Drosophila melanogaster: one gene and its partners. The protein of the gene in region 2 interacts with the protein of the main gene of each other region in a pairwise test. Each region holds a gene or a part of one and is shown on either strand. Other genes may lie near its edges.

Region 1 (5,938 bases), on a different chromosome or scaffold from region 2:
GTGCCCAAGTACTTCGACCAGATCTTCGTGTGGGGCAATCCCTACATGACCAACTCCGTTGACTGGAAGTCGACCGACAAGAAGATCGCCGACATCATCATGACCCTGTGGGCGAACTTCGCCAAGACCTCGAACCCCACGAAGTCGAACGTGTACGTGAAGTGGAACGCCATGACCCCCAATAACGATTCAGTGCTTCTGATCGACGAGAGCTTCAACACGGACAACCTGCTGAACAACCAGCGGATCAACTTCTGGAGATCGCTGTACCCCAAGATCCTTGTCTTCTCCGCCGACTGCTGCAACTCCACGTTCTCGGGCAGCGGCCTGGTGATCGCCACTTCCGTTCCCATACTATGTACCCTTAGCATTATCGTTAATATATTTTGAATAAAGAGCTCCTGCAATAGATGACGCTTTGACCCTCTCCAAGTAATCTGTCCTACCGTTACTTATTACTTATTATATAATAAATATTTGAAAACAACAGAACCACATGTACAAAGTTACCACTTGTCGTTTATTAGTCGTTCGAAACTTATAGGATATTGATTTGTTGCTACGACTGCCATATATGTATATCATATCATAGGGAGTAACTCAGAAGTTCAAAGGATTTCGAATGGCGGTATCGATTGAAAATGGTGTGCATTTGCATTTGCACACCAATCCTTTGGATTCTTGGGCATCCTCGATAAACAAGGTTTGGAAATTCGTTTTCGCAGGTTTTACGATGAAGTTCAAGTCGAAGGTTAGAATGCATTTTTCGGTACTTATGTTCGAGACTTATACAATTTCTATACTAACCACCGCCAACTCATTCGCCTTCTATACTTTCATAACTAAATGTCGTTGTCTTGGAGCTAAAAGTACACTCTTGTGGAATTGCAATACTACACCTATTCGTCATCCTCAAAAATGTGGGCGCTCAAGGACTGAAATCCCCAGCACGAATCTTGGAGCTTATTCCATGCTGGTGGGATTAGTTCTTGAACGCGCTTTTTTGGTCGAGTTGTTAAGCCATTGTCAGTGTGCCAGCTCCGATTCCGTAGCCCACACCCTTTGGCCCATAGAACTTGGCGTAGCACGATCGGCAATAGATGCCGCCATCGGGTCCGTCGTTCAGATTGGTCGAGTCCAGGTATTTCCGGCACTCCATGCAGTAGAAACAGAGCTTGTGCCACACGTTCTTCGCGCTCTTCACCTGTTCCGCGGCGAAGACCATGAATCCGCATCGCGGACACCCGTTCTCCGACTTTTGTCCGTTGCGATCGATGGTTCCCCAGCTGGAAGAAGAGATCCTTGGATCCAGACGAACTCTCTTTGAACTGGACAACGGACTTACCAGCTGGGCGTGTACTCGTAGTTGGTGGACACCAGGGTGGGCGTGTGTCCGTACCCGACGCCTTTGGGGCCAAAGAGCTTCGCGTAGCAGAGCTTGCAATAGATATTGTCATCCGGTCCGTCACAGGCGAGCACCGAGTCCAGGGGTCGGGTGCACCTGGCGCAGTTGAAGCACTTCCTGTGGTACATCTTCCCCTTGGACAGCTGCAGCTCGGCCGCAAAGACCGCTCCGCCACATCGGGGACATCCCTCGCCGTCCGGAGCCATGATCGAAGTGGTGTCCGGAGCCACAAAGGGTCGTTCGGATGCCAAGTTCTCCTCACTGTAACAAATCTCTTTCAGTCAAATTATGGATTGGATTTTGACGAATATGATTGAAAGCTTGTTTTATCCAAATTCAAGATGAGCCTTGGAATGGAAACCACTCACGTAATGCCGTCGGTTTGCAGGAAACTGGATCCACAGGCGAATCCGTAGCCATGGGGTCCCCACTTCTTGCCATAGCAAGTCTTGCAGTAGACCTCATTGTCCGGACCATCGCACGCGATAATGGAGTCCAGAGTTTTGGTGCAGTCCCGACACTTGAAGCACTTCCGGTGCCAGCTCCTTCCCTTGGAGAGAACTTGTTCCGCGGCGAATACTACGCCGCCACAACGTGGGCATCCTTCTCCGATTGGCGCCTGGATTTGCTCCACATTTATGATGGAGGCTTTGGGAGCCATGTCGCTGCAAGCACCAACATAATAACCTAGCCAGAATTGGTGTTACTACTAATCTCACCTTTGCCACTCGCTATCCCTGATGTCGGACATCAACCCCAAGGACGAAATGCCGATGTGCCCGTAACCCCTGGCCCCAAACTTCTGAGCATAACATCCTGAAAAGCGAATGCTTCTAGAGATCCTAATTCTCTAAAATCTATGGGTTGGAAATGTACCTCTACAGTAAATGTCCTTGTCCGGACCATCACAGTGAAGAGTTGAGTCTAGAGTCTTGTTGCATTGCACGCACTTAAAGCACCTTCGATGGTAACCCTGCGATAAAGAACACCACCTAAGACAAGGGCCGACGGACCGAGATCGTTTCAATAGTTCACCTTTCCTCTGGCCAGCATCTGCTCGGCGGCATACACATATATGCCACACCGTGGGCAGCCCAGCCCGTCGGGTGCTTTTGGGGGAATCTTGGGCGGAACGAATCTAGAAAGATTCAAATGCCTCCCTCAATTACGGCGCTCTCGGTGGACATCCAATGTGGGGGGGGGGGGGGGTTGTTTCATCTTAGTCACACACAAGACGAGGAACAAAAGTCAGAAAGGTCGGTCGTTGTGCCCGAACAAAAAACGAATTGGGGAAATACACGAAATCCACATAGACAGCAGCGAGGGAGATGCGAATAGAAACCTATAAATAACATGTGAATAAGCTTACAACTACTTTGTTTTATTGTACATTTATTTTATCAATTTACAGTCCGCGGACGTTGTAAACAAAGATACAAGAATTATTTCACCAAAGACCACAATGTGTTTGCTAGTTTAACATTAACAATCGGTTAGTGTTAGTGGAATTTTCCAGGGAATCAGAAACTGGATATCCCTGGCGGTTTCTGCCCGGAAAGTTAAAAACAAATTTTTCGGTTGCTTTTTTGGGGGTGGGCGTGTGGAAAACATTGAAAACATACAGGTTCTAATAGAAAGCAAAACTACACATTTAATTCAAGGAATTTTACACAATTTTCATACAAAACATATTTCTTATTTAGTCCTTACTCTCTGTTTAAGTGGGCGCCAGTGTCCGTGGACAGGCAGCCGGCACCACCACCGAAACCGTATCCCTTGGGACCGTATTTGCGACCATGGCAGTTTTTGCAGAAAAGCTCCTTCTCGTGCTCCGTGCAGTTGGTCGAGTCCAGGGCCTTGTTGCACATGCCTGAAACGGGCGAGTGGAGGGGGAGGGGGGTAGGGTTTTGCGTTAGCTATCCGACATCCGACTCGAAGGACCAAGTCCAGACGATCTGGCTGGCAGGACATTTATACTTACTGCACTTGAAGCAGGTCTTGTGGAATTTGTAGCCTCCGGCAACGCGCTCCTCGGCAGCGTAGACCGACTTGCCGCACGCGGGGCACTTGGGGGTTTCAACGGGAACGAAAGGCATTTTGATCTGAGTGCGTGTGTGTGTCTGCGGGGGCAAAAAACTGTGATTATGGCAAACTGCAGCGGCTATGCGTGTGGTGGATCAGCGCGATTCAATTATATACACACATATATATATGTATATATATATATATATAATCCTAAGGATATATACCTCGGAGGTACTCTGTGAAGTAGTTCCTATTCGTCGGAAATGCCGCGGACTAGACTGGAAAGATTCTGTACACAGGTAGTCTATATTTGTGGATGCACACGGCACAACTAAGAAAATACAGTTTGCGTAATAAAAACAGCACTTTCTGAATATATCATTTATTTATCATGCAATGCCCACGGCTCTATGTATGTGTACTCTCGGCTATATCCACGCCCCGATGTCTCATTCCTGGGCTGGTAACAGACCAGTTAGACTAACTTGGATTACTATATCTTCACCCACTGGGAAGGAATTTGCCTCGTCTTGAAGTAATTTGTTTTGTTCTACTGCACTCTCAAGTGCGAGGCATGCAAGATTTTTGGGGAAAAATCGAAATATATAATGGGCTGTTTCTCACGAAGGTTCTACCCGTATAACCAACCAACTAACCAACCAACCATCCATCCAACCAACTAACCCATATGTAATCTGATTTTACGCAACAATTAATTTATTAGCTTTCGACACGCACACCAAAATCCGCGCAGATGTAAATATGTATGTTTGTAGTCTAAAAATATATGCACACCCATGCGATGTGTATCAAAGTACATTCATGGCCTTATTTTAAACTTAGAAATTCGAAAATAGCTCATAACTGCTCAACCCAGATCCATAAATAAACCCATTACGCATTGATCGCTCGATCGGAATTGGAATCGGATTTGGAATCGGAATCGGATTTACATGCCATAAAGTGTTCGAAAATAGGTTCCAGTTTTCGAAAGAGCGTTTTTGGAGAGTGGATCGAGTGGCCAGCCACAAGTGTTTCAATTGGGGGGCCAAACGAATATGCACATGGATATGAATATGAATATGGATGTGGATGTGGATGTGTATGTGGATGGAGTGAAGCATCTTTTCATCAGCGCCTGCGATGCCCATGTATAAACATATCTATAAATAGAGGGGCTCTGGGTATTTGTTAATTGTAAATCGCTCACTTGCGATTGGCAATGAGCCTAACAATTTATGAAGGCCAGGCCCATTGACTCGACAAATCTGACAATGTGGTTTGCTTTGCCAGCATTGTTTATCCGCGTGCCGATCCGATCCGATACCACCATTATTTTTGGCGACAGTTCAGGGTTAGTTCATCGCCAAGAATGTCGGGAATTAACCACTCGATCGACCGATCGCCTCCAACTCGGAACACGGAAGTATGTATGTCTTAATTACCTGTATGGGTGGACAATTAGTGCAAAATAGACATTTGGCGCAGCGCTGAGTCAGCCACTCGTATTTATTATTAGCCGCATAATTATGAATATGTAATCTAGTTATTCGCCATCTTGTTGGCTTCATTTGGCTCCGCTTAACTATGCATGATATGCAGGTGGCCAAAAATCAACATCCATAGGTTGCTGACCTGGTCTCGCTCCATCCAACAAAGAGGCCTCACCTTCGAGCCCATTCTTCGCCAGAGTGTGGCTGGCGTTTTGCATGACAAAGAAATGAATTTACAGCGATCGGGTCCAGATGTTATGATAATCAGCTTATCAGATATCGTTTATTTTACAAAGTAGATAAATTAATTAATATACAAATAATTATTATAATTGTACATTTGACTTCATCTTTTATTTAACCATCCAATTGTTAATCGTAATTTATACAAATTACAGTCGCTGCAATACAAATTATGCAAAATCATGTATGTATATCATTTACAGTCACTGTATGGTAATATGGTAATTTAGGTGGAGTCCGACTTCAGCCGATTGGCAAACTCGACTTGCTGGATCTCCCTCCACTCCTTCTTTGGCTTCATGCGCTTCAGCTGCCCGTCCCAGACCAGATCAATCAAACCTCCCTGCTTCGCGATGACACTCTTCACGCGGTTCGCGAAGTCGATCGCCGACTCTCCCTCCTGCCTGTACATCGGCGGCAGGTACCACACATCGCACACGATGGCCCACGAGGTCATCATCATGTACAGATACTGCATCATCGAGTACTTCGCGCTGTTCCAGAAGGCGTCGCCGAACCTCGGATCGTACCTTCAAGCCAAAAGAGACCCCACGGATGAGAAATGGTTTCGCCGCGAAAAACTATTCACTACTCACTTAATGGCCACCGGGTAGATGACGCCGCCAACTTCGAAGCTGCCCTTCTTGAACTGCATGACCGACGTGTTGTTGATGCAAGTTCCCTCCGGGAAGATAAGGATCGGTGGGTTGTTCGGATCAGACACGTGCTGCTTCAGTCGCTCGGCCACCAAATGACGATCCTTGGCCTCGCC
Region 2 (3,288 bases):
GCAGAGCAACCAGAGCTCCTGGCACGGCAAATACAAACTCTTGGAACAGCAGTACAACGAGTTCAAGCAAACCCACGACGCCGAGGTGACCGAATTAAAGGAACAGCTTCGCGACATTATGTTCTTTTTGGACAATCAGCAAAAGTTGGCCAACACCGAGATAGCGGGTGGCACCGTTACAGGCATTGCAGAGAAGGAACCGGATCCCAACACCCGGCGCCGTAATCGTCGCAAGAAATAAATCATAGCCACCGTACGCCGTCTTTATATCCAAGCTGCATTGTTTACCCGATCTTAGATGGCTATGCAAACCGAGTATATAAGGTTTATAACAGCTCTATATGTGATTTCCTTTGTATAACGAAAACCTAAGGATTAAATATAACTACTACTACGTAGAAAACCATATGTCCCAAAATGTATTGCGTGTTTATTTTGAATTAATAAAATGTTTGAAGAAAGCCGCTTTTCATTTAAATTTTTCCGCTGGTGGCAATAAATTCTGTGTACTTAGCTCGCCAATTTAAAGTTATTATTCGAATACAATCGTGGATTAATAATGATATCATTCAGGCTTCGGACAAATATCCTCGCAATTGAATGTGGGATCCGAAAGCTCCTGGGGTTGCACTGCTGGATCTGCTTGGAAAATCACGAGCTTCTCCTTCATTTCCTGCTCGTTACGATCAAGATTCATCAGATAGGCGGCAATAAAGGCGCGTGGATCCTGCGGCGAATGAATGTGCAGTTGAGCGAAGGCCCTGACCAGTACGTCGCCCATCTGTTCCTTGATCTCGCCAGCCATTGCATCCACGGCCTCCAGATTCTTGCTCTTGGGCATCCAGTCGTATCCCTTGAAACAGCAGCACTCGCAGTAGGTCTTCGGATCGGAATCCTTGAGCAGTTTGAAAAAGGGCAGCAGCTCCGCCTCGCAGCTCTTCAGCTTGGCCACCTCACGCACGAAGCGCTTATGCAGCTCGCACACCTCCTTTCCGCATGCCCGGATAACCTCCGCATCCTGGGAGAGTGTCGCCGTCCGCTTTATGTAGTCCACCGTGTTCTCGTGGAACGACTTGAACTTGCACTTCTCCTCGTTGTAGGCATACAGGCACTGGCGGGCATAGATGATGATGTTGTCCCGCCTCTTTCGAATCTCCTCACTACGCTGGGTGAAGTGCGCTGTCACCTCTTCCAGGCTATTGATCCGCTGGGCGAATTTCGTCACATCCTCGGTGCTCTCGCAAACTACCTTGCCCTTCTTCTCGTGCCCGCACTTCTGGTTCGCCTTGTTAATCTTGGCCAGCTCCGCCTTTAGCTCTAGATTCAGATTCCTTAGCTCCGTGTTCAAGCGCTTCACATCGTTGTCGTTGCAGATCAACGCCTGGAGCATCTCGTGCAGGCAGTTCTTGTGCGGATTGGGCAGCTCATCGGGGCAGCCGGCCAACATTTTTAAGGATTAATTGGGTAGAATATTTTCACAACAAATAGATGTATGTAGCATATATATTTCAGTGTGAATCTTTACTTTTGATCTTTAGTAGAATTTTCTATCAGTTTACTGGGATTCTACGAAAAGAATCCCTTTAACTTAATACAGTATTGAAATATTACAATATGGGCTAATTTAAATATTTTTGTATTGCATTTATAAGCCTTGGCTTAGCAGAATCTTAATTCTTTGTTAGATTGTTTCTTTGCTTGAATATAGTTAAATAACCGAATAACAGTTTTCTTGCGAAATAAAAGTCCAGCATAAAATGTAAAATTACTTACTCGCTGCCAAATTGATTGGTTCTTATCTACAAATATACATACATAAGATATATCAGTACGCTGAATTACAAATTCCCAAAAAGTCTGTCCAATACGAACCGGTTTGACTAGAAACCGAATATTCACTTAAATTGCGTACCGACAGCAACAAAAACAAATAAAGAAGGCAAATAAAAATGAAATTTATTTGGCAGTGAACAAAAGGCAGCAAAAATAAAAAAAAATTCCTAATGGTCTCCCCCAACAATCCCCGCCCCTCCCTTCCCATTTCTCTAAAAAACGGTTCCACTTTTGGTTCGTCTACAATTGGCACACGATCAATCATTATGTCTCTTCTAACGCAAATTTATCTAAACGAAAGGTAGGGTATGCTGCATTTATTGATACCCTCTAGGATTAGTGTGTATCAGTTATATAAGTAGATACTATATTTTCGTACAGGGTATGCTCGTTGGCGAATACCGAAAGGAACTACTTGCAAAACTCCCACTAATGGACAATCGAAAAGCTTTCGAAAATTAAGTTTTGGCACAAGTCAACCTGTTTTCGGATGAGGAGAACTTGCGAAAGGTAAGCGGGAATCGACCTTTGACCGTCTTGTACCTGTAATTAAGTAACTTAATTAATTTGCCGCCAATAAAACCCAACAAACACAAAACAATGATTGAAGCTTGCGAAATTTTGATTTCAGCGTTTGAATAAATTTTGCATAATTTTTTCGGTTTCTTTAAGAATTTCATGGATATTATTGTGTTTAACCCGTGAAGGGTATAATTTGATTGATTTTCGGCGATGAGCATGGAATTTTCGACGGGTTTTAAATTTGATGCATAACGCAACTAAACTGTTGCACAATGGAACAGTCATTTTTAGCTTACATCAGATCATTACTTAACCACTGGTATAGTAGTTGGTCTTAAAATGCAAAATAAAAATGCATTTAACTATTTGTATGCTTTATGAATCGAAAGGTTTTCGAACCCTTTTAGGTTTAAGCAGCTGCTTGATCAATTTTTCATTTTCCATTGGGGGGAATAATTATAATAATTAGAATTATAGAACGCGACTAATGAGCAAATATTGACTGAGAAACTCGCCCAAGGCGTTTCAAATGGGCGGATGCAAAGCCCGAGTATGCAAAGGAGAGATAAACAAATAACCGAAGGACCACAGATGTGAAGAAAAGGACGACCGATCAAAAGGATGTGCCAGGATGGCAGCGCGGATCTCGGGGTGGGTCCCTCCTCCTTATCCTCTTCCCATTTGCATAGAAAAGTGACCCAGTTCTCTAAGGATGCTGATGATTGTTTAGAGCTCGCAGCTCGACTTCCTAATGCGCAGGACTCTGAAAAATGGCGTGAAAAAAATGTATTTAAATAATTTACGTATTTTTCTATTCGAAAGCACAACGATTTTTTTCGTTTCTACCTCTACTTTTTTTGCGGAGGATAAATGAAAAATGATGTTTGACCCTCCCGTCCTGCGAGACGCACCCTTCTCCTTCTCCTCGATCAC
Region 3 (2,706 bases), on a different chromosome or scaffold from region 2:
GTAAAATCTTAACACCTACCTGGAATTTGATAAGCAACCAAGAAAAGATTGTTTCTTTCAGCCTAATGGCTTATTTTTCCATGGCTTAAAATTTGTTCGTAACTACCATCTGAGTGTTAATACTTAACTGCCTAGTACCGTTAAATTAAAATGTCATTACTTTTTAAGCCCTTGATTTCTTTCAATTAGCACTGGAAAGTTCATTAGCCCGACCTCGACTGCTCCGCGACCTTGACTTAATTACATATTTCAGTCGCCCAACAACTTCAAAACAAACCATTTTGGCCACTTTTAAATATCACGCATCCAGCGACGGCTGCCGGTGGCCAATAACTTGTCCACTGGCTACGTGATATGCATCCGCAAACGAGGCGTTGGAGTTCCAGAGGCCAGTCATTACCGTTGTTTATGAGCACGGCTAGCTGTCAGTGGCTAATTCAATTTAAATTGTGCGGTAGTCCTCAGTACCACTGGCCCATTGAAGTAATTTCTACTGATTTATCTCATTTTTTTGTATTTTTATTGATCAGTCGACGTTCTTACAGAAGAACTGGAGCAGCAGCCGGAAGAGTTTTATAAGCCAATGGAGAAGTGTAAGCCAGAGGAGCGGAGTAGGCCAAAGGAGAAGCGTAGGCAAAAGGAGCAGCAGTGTACTTGGCCACCACAGGAGCGGCAACGGGAGCAATCACAGGAGCAACGGCGATTCCATTGTAGTTCCTGGCGATAACCTGGCTACTGGTGGCGGTCACAACTGGAGCGGGAGCAGCTACCACGGCAGCAGGAGCTGAGTAAGCCAGAGGAGCAGAGTAAGCCAGAGGAGCAGTGTAAGCAAGGGGAGCACCCAGAAGTCCAGGCTTGGCAGCAGCGCAGGCAACGATAGCCAGAATAACAACGGCCTGTCAATAAAATGCGATGAGTAAATATGGCAGGAAGCTAAGATTCCAAACTTACGGATTTGAACATTATGATTATGGATCTGGTGCTTACGGTTCGAAAACTTGAACTTGTCTGATGTCGTCCAACACATTCCATACCACTATTTATACGCCGCATCGGGACTGCGTCTGTGACCTCAGGCCATCGCATTCCGTGGCCACTAAGAGTTATTCCACATTCTGCAGTCAGCAGTGGGAAATCACATAAACTACGGCAAAGTGCAAATGGTAAATGGTAAATGGTAAATGGTAACGGGAGACTGTCACCGCATTTAAATGCGTGCGATCATGAGTCAGATCTGAGCAAACATTCGGGTATAAATATGCTCCACGAAGAGCAGTGGGATATCAAAGAGTTTCTAGCCTTCCGAAGAAGCAAACCAAACAAATATTTCACCATGTTCAAATACGTACGTTCTTCAGAAAGGACACCCAAAGGATTAAACTAATCAAGTTAATTTGTTCACAGGCTGTCGTCGTTCTCGCTCTCGTTGCCTGCGCTGCTGCCAAGCCTGGACTCCTGGGTGCTCCCCTTGCTTACACTGCTCCTCTGGCTTACTCTGCTCCTGCTGCCGTGGTAGCTGCTCCCGCTCCAGTTGTGACCGCAACCAGTAGCCAGGTCATCGCCAGGAATTACAATGGAATCGCCGCTGCTCCTGTGATTGCTCCCGTTGCTGCTCCTCTGGCTGCTCCTGTGGTGGCGAAGTACGCGGCTACTCCTCTGGCTGCACCACTGGCCTACTCCTCTCCTTTGGCTTACTCCGCACCACTGAGCTACGCCGCTGCTTCAGGACCGCTCCTTATCTAAATTACTAAGCTGTGATCACATCGGAGACAACGATAATAAATGGAGATATAATAAGACGTTATTCAATTGTATATTTTTTAAATACGCTTTAAAAACGCACGAAGATGATTCCTCGATAATTTCCCAGCATTTATGAACAATTATTCCGAGAATGCACACTAGCGCCACCCAACGACTGAAACATTTCTTAATCACAGCCCTATAATATGTTGAATCTAACTACAAAAAATCCGAACTTCCGAGCTTTTAAGATCCCCAGATCTTAGACGGTCAAAGATTCCACTTAATTTCTTTTTGTGCGAAAGCACTTTATTCAACGTTTTACATAATTTTTATAGAATCCAATAAGGCCTTTTATTGTAAAACTAATGTTTTATTAAAACCGAACGCATATAAACTAAAAAAAAGAGAGAACGTCATAGTACAGTTCCCCTACTATCAGATACCCGTTACTTAGCTAGTCGAACTGTGAACGAGAAATTTCAACATCTATCATACACATTTATCAAATGTGTGAGAGAATCAGTTTATTGACGGATTGTGGGCTTTACAAGGGGCGTGTTCTGGGTAGAAAAAATAAAAAGAGAGAATGCTATAAACGAGTTCCCCGACTATCAGATACCCGTTACTCAGCTAGTGTGAATGCGAACGAAAAAATTATTCATTTTTCTGGAATATCTATAGATATTTGGGAATAAAATGAGAAAAAATTTAAAATTGTTAAAAGTGTGGGCGTGACCGTTTTGTCGTTTTGCAGGCGAAAGAATTTGATATACAGATAAAAATGTGGGCGTGGCAGTTTTGGGCTGTTTTAGGGCGTTAGAGTGGGCGTGGTAAAATGCTTTTTTGCAAATCGATAGCAATTAACTTGACTAATGCAAATGTGAAAATATATAAAAACATTTTTAATAAGTGGGAGTGGCAGTTTTGGGCGGCTTGTGGGCGTTGCAACATGGGTAAAAA
Region 4 (3,099 bases), on a different chromosome or scaffold from region 2:
TACAAATCTGGGGTCGGAAACTATTCCTTCTACCTTTCACCCACTTTTCCTTGAATATAGTACATATACCGATTTTACTCTGGGGCAATAACATATATTTAACATATATTTAAAACATATATTCCGCAATCGCAATAAAAACCTTTTTAAAGACACGGATATTCTGTAAATAGGCAACCAAACGCAAATTGGGCCATCGGTTCTAAGACAGGTTGATTGTGCCAAATCTGTGGCTCATATCGGTCACAGGTCAGCTTTGACCTTGACATAATTGCCAAGGTCTGTACTCAAAGCCGAAAAATAAAATAAACCTATAATACAAATCAATTTCGCACAATTTAATGTAACAAACATTGGACAGCAGCAACTGCCGCTGAGCTGACAATAATTTTTATGACCATTACGTGACCTGCGTTCGAAATTTTCAAATGCCCCCCATCAGTAGGTTGTCGATTTCGACGCTTTAGTATGCCAGCGGTAAATCCAATTAGCGAAGCCCCAAAAAATGGGAGAAATTGGAGTTCGTTTGATTTTTTTTATTACTTTTAAAGTTTTCTAAAGAAGAACAGGAGCTGATGGCAAGGCACTGTATGCCAAAGGCGAGGTGTAAGCCAAGGAGGAAATGTGGGCCAATGGAGCAGCAGCGTACTTGGCCACAACAGGAGCAGCCAATGGAGCAGCAGCGTACTTGGCCACCACAGGAGCGGCCAATGGAGCAGCAGCGTACTTGGCCACCACAGGAGCGGCAACGGGAGCAATCACAGGAGCAGCGGCGATTCCATTGTAGTTCCTGGCGATAACCTGGCTACTGGTGGCGGTCACAACTGGAGCGGGAGCAGCTACCACGGCAGCAGGAGCTGAGTAAGCCAGAGGAGCAGAGTAAGCCAGAGGAGCAGTGTAAGCAAGGGGAGCACCCAGAAGTCCAGGCTTGGCAGCAGCGCAGGCAACGATAGCCAGAATAACAACGGCCTGTCAATAAAATGCGATGAGTAAATATGGCAGGAAGCTAAGATTCCAAACTTACGGATTTGAACATTATGATTATGGATCTGGTGCTTACGGTTCGAAAACTTGAACTTGTCTGATGTCGTCCAACACATTCCATACCACTATTTATACGCCGCATCGGGACTGCGTCTGTGACCTCAGGCCATCGCATTCCGTGGCCACCAAGAGTTATTCCACATTCTGCAGTCAGCAGTGGGAAATCACATAAACTACGGCACAGTGCAAATGGTAAATGGTAACGGGAGACTGTCACCGCATTTAAATGAACTGAATGAGTGCGATCATGAGTCAGATCTGAGCAAACATTCGGGTATAAATATGCTCCACGAAGAGCAGTGGGATATCAAAGAGTTTCTAGCCTTCCGAAGAAGCAAACCAAACAAATATTTCACCATGTTCAAATACGTACGTTCTTCAGAAAGGACACCCAAAGGATTAAACTAATCAAGTTTATTTGTTCACAGGCTGTCGTCGTTCTCGCTCTCGTTGCCTGCGCTGCTGCCAAGCCTGGACTCCTGGGTGCTCCCCTTGCTTACACTGCTCCTCTGGCTTACTCTGCTCCTGCTGCCGTGGTAGCTGCTCCCGCTCCAGTTGTGACCGCAACCAGTAGCCAGGTTATCGCCAGGAATTACAATGGAATCGCCTCTGCTCCTGTGATTGCTCCCGTTGCTGCTCCTCTGGCTGCTCCTGTGGTGGCGAAGTACGCGGCTACTCCTCTGGCTGCTCCTGTGGTGGCGAAGTACGCGGCTACTCCTCTGGCTGCACGACTGGCCTACTCCTCGCCTTTGGCTTACTCCGCACCACTGAGCTACGCTGCTGCTCCTGCACCATTTCTCATCTAAATTTTTATGCTGTGATTATCTAGGACGATAAATATAATAAAAATGAACGCTTATATCGATTATATGACCCCATAAATTGCTGAAGTATTAGATTTTTGGACTTGCAAAAAAAAAAACGATACTCGTAGAATAACAGGGTATACTAGATTCGTTTGGAAGTACGTAACACATGTTCGGCCGGATGAACGTCGAATTCTCGGGAACTATGAAAGCAAGAGAGAATGCTATAGTTGAGTTCCCTGAAGAAAGCGTTTATGACCATATAAAATATATAAATTCCTGATCAGGATCAGTAGCCGAATGGATCTGACCATGTCCGTATGCTAGAAGATTAAGATTAATACAGTTTCTAGAGACTTAGACGCAGTGCAAGTTTTTTGACCCATGTTGCAACGCCCACAAGACGCCCAAAACTGCCACTCCCACTTATTAAAAATGTTTTTATATATTTTTATATTTCCATTAGTCAAGTTAATTGCTATCGATTTGCAAAAGAGCATTTTACCACGCCCACTCTAACGCCCTAAAACAGCCCAAAACTGCCACGCCCACATTTTTATCTGTATATCAAATTAAAAAAACAGTTTTACAATAAAAGGCTGTATTGGAAGTGCTTTCTTACAAAAAAGAAATTCATTGGGATCTTTGACCGTCTAAGATCTGGGGATTTTGAAAGCCCGAAATTTCTGATATATACAAGTAATATTCTAGTAACTTCTTAAATGCCCAAACTTTAGTAAAATGTTGTAGTTTGCATATCAAACTAGTAGAGTAAAAATGTATACTAAATTCGTTGAAAAGTACGTAATGGGTAAAAGGAAGCTAAAGTTTTCGAGCCCGTATTGTATATATACTTTTAATAAGAATCACTGTTTTCACGACTATGTATCCGACTGTTCCTATGAATGCTGTGATCTCGAAAGCTATAAAAGCTAAAAAGTTAAAATGCAGCAGGGAGATTCCAGAAACGTAGACGCAACACGAGTATTTCGGTAATCATTTAGCGAAAGACCTATATTTTCTAAATCACTACAATACTTTTAAAATTTGCAGTTAGTTTAGATTTGACGATTGATTTAGAAATGGCTGTGATTGAGAAATGCATCAGTCGTTAAAATTATAATATAAGAATAAGAATAATTGGAATAATTGTTAATCAATGCTGGGAAATTTTCTAGCAATCATTTTCGTGTACGTTCAGAGCTAATTTTTCATTGAAATAAATGAATATTAATTTGAAGCGTGCTTA

Evidence for each region.
Region 1: the proteins of CG14282 (region 2) and Mlp60A interact in a two-hybrid assay, tested with the Drosophila melanogaster proteins (one large-scale study listed by BioGRID).
Region 3: the proteins of CG14282 (region 2) and CG14096 interact in a two-hybrid assay, tested with the Drosophila melanogaster proteins (one large-scale study listed by BioGRID).
Region 4: the proteins of CG14282 (region 2) and CG18294 interact in a two-hybrid assay, tested with the Drosophila melanogaster proteins (one large-scale study listed by BioGRID).

What each region holds. Positions count from the first base shown.
Region 1 is NT_033778.4:24,072,786-24,078,723, reverse strand, and holds Mlp60A (muscle LIM protein at 60A), read right to left. Parts: upstream 4,123-5,938; 5' UTR 3,655-4,122; intron 3,551-3,654; exon of another isoform or gene 3,526-3,550; 5' UTR 3,502-3,525; coding exon 3,387-3,501; intron 3,276-3,386; coding exon 3,116-3,275; coding exon of another isoform or gene 3,112-3,115; exon of another isoform or gene 2,770-3,111; intron 2,544-2,769; coding exon 2,441-2,543; intron 2,379-2,440; coding exon 2,282-2,378; intron 2,222-2,281; coding exon 2,125-2,221; intron 2,071-2,124; coding exon 1,774-2,070; intron 1,667-1,773; coding exon 1,346-1,666; intron 1,287-1,345; coding exon 1,016-1,286; 3' UTR 501-1,015; downstream 1-500. Other genes in the region: CG10339 (uncharacterized protein), read left to right, coding at 1-390; Gpat4 (Glycerol-3-phosphate acyltransferase 4), read right to left, coding at 5,393-5,696, 5,763-5,938. UniProt on the Drosophila melanogaster protein: Positive regulator of myogenesis.
Region 2 is NT_033777.3:19,175,211-19,178,498, reverse strand, and holds CG14282 (uncharacterized protein), read right to left. Parts: upstream 1,500-3,288; 5' UTR 1,448-1,499; coding exon 566-1,447; 3' UTR 513-565; downstream 1-512. Other genes in the region: CG5555 (uncharacterized protein), read left to right, coding at 1-241.
Region 3 is NT_037436.4:19,466,067-19,468,772, forward strand, and holds CG14096 (uncharacterized protein), read right to left. Parts: upstream 1,014-2,706; 5' UTR 964-1,013; coding exon 952-963; intron 897-951; coding exon 540-896; 3' UTR 501-539; downstream 1-500. Other genes in the region: CG32214 (uncharacterized protein), read left to right, coding at 1,334-1,345, 1,405-1,743.
Region 4 is NT_037436.4:19,474,489-19,477,587, forward strand, and holds CG18294 (uncharacterized protein), read right to left. Parts: upstream 1,091-3,099; 5' UTR 1,037-1,090; coding exon 1,025-1,036; exon of another isoform or gene 970-1,024; coding exon 556-969; 3' UTR 529-555; downstream 1-528. Other genes in the region: CG32213 (uncharacterized protein), read left to right, coding at 1,402-1,413, 1,473-1,850.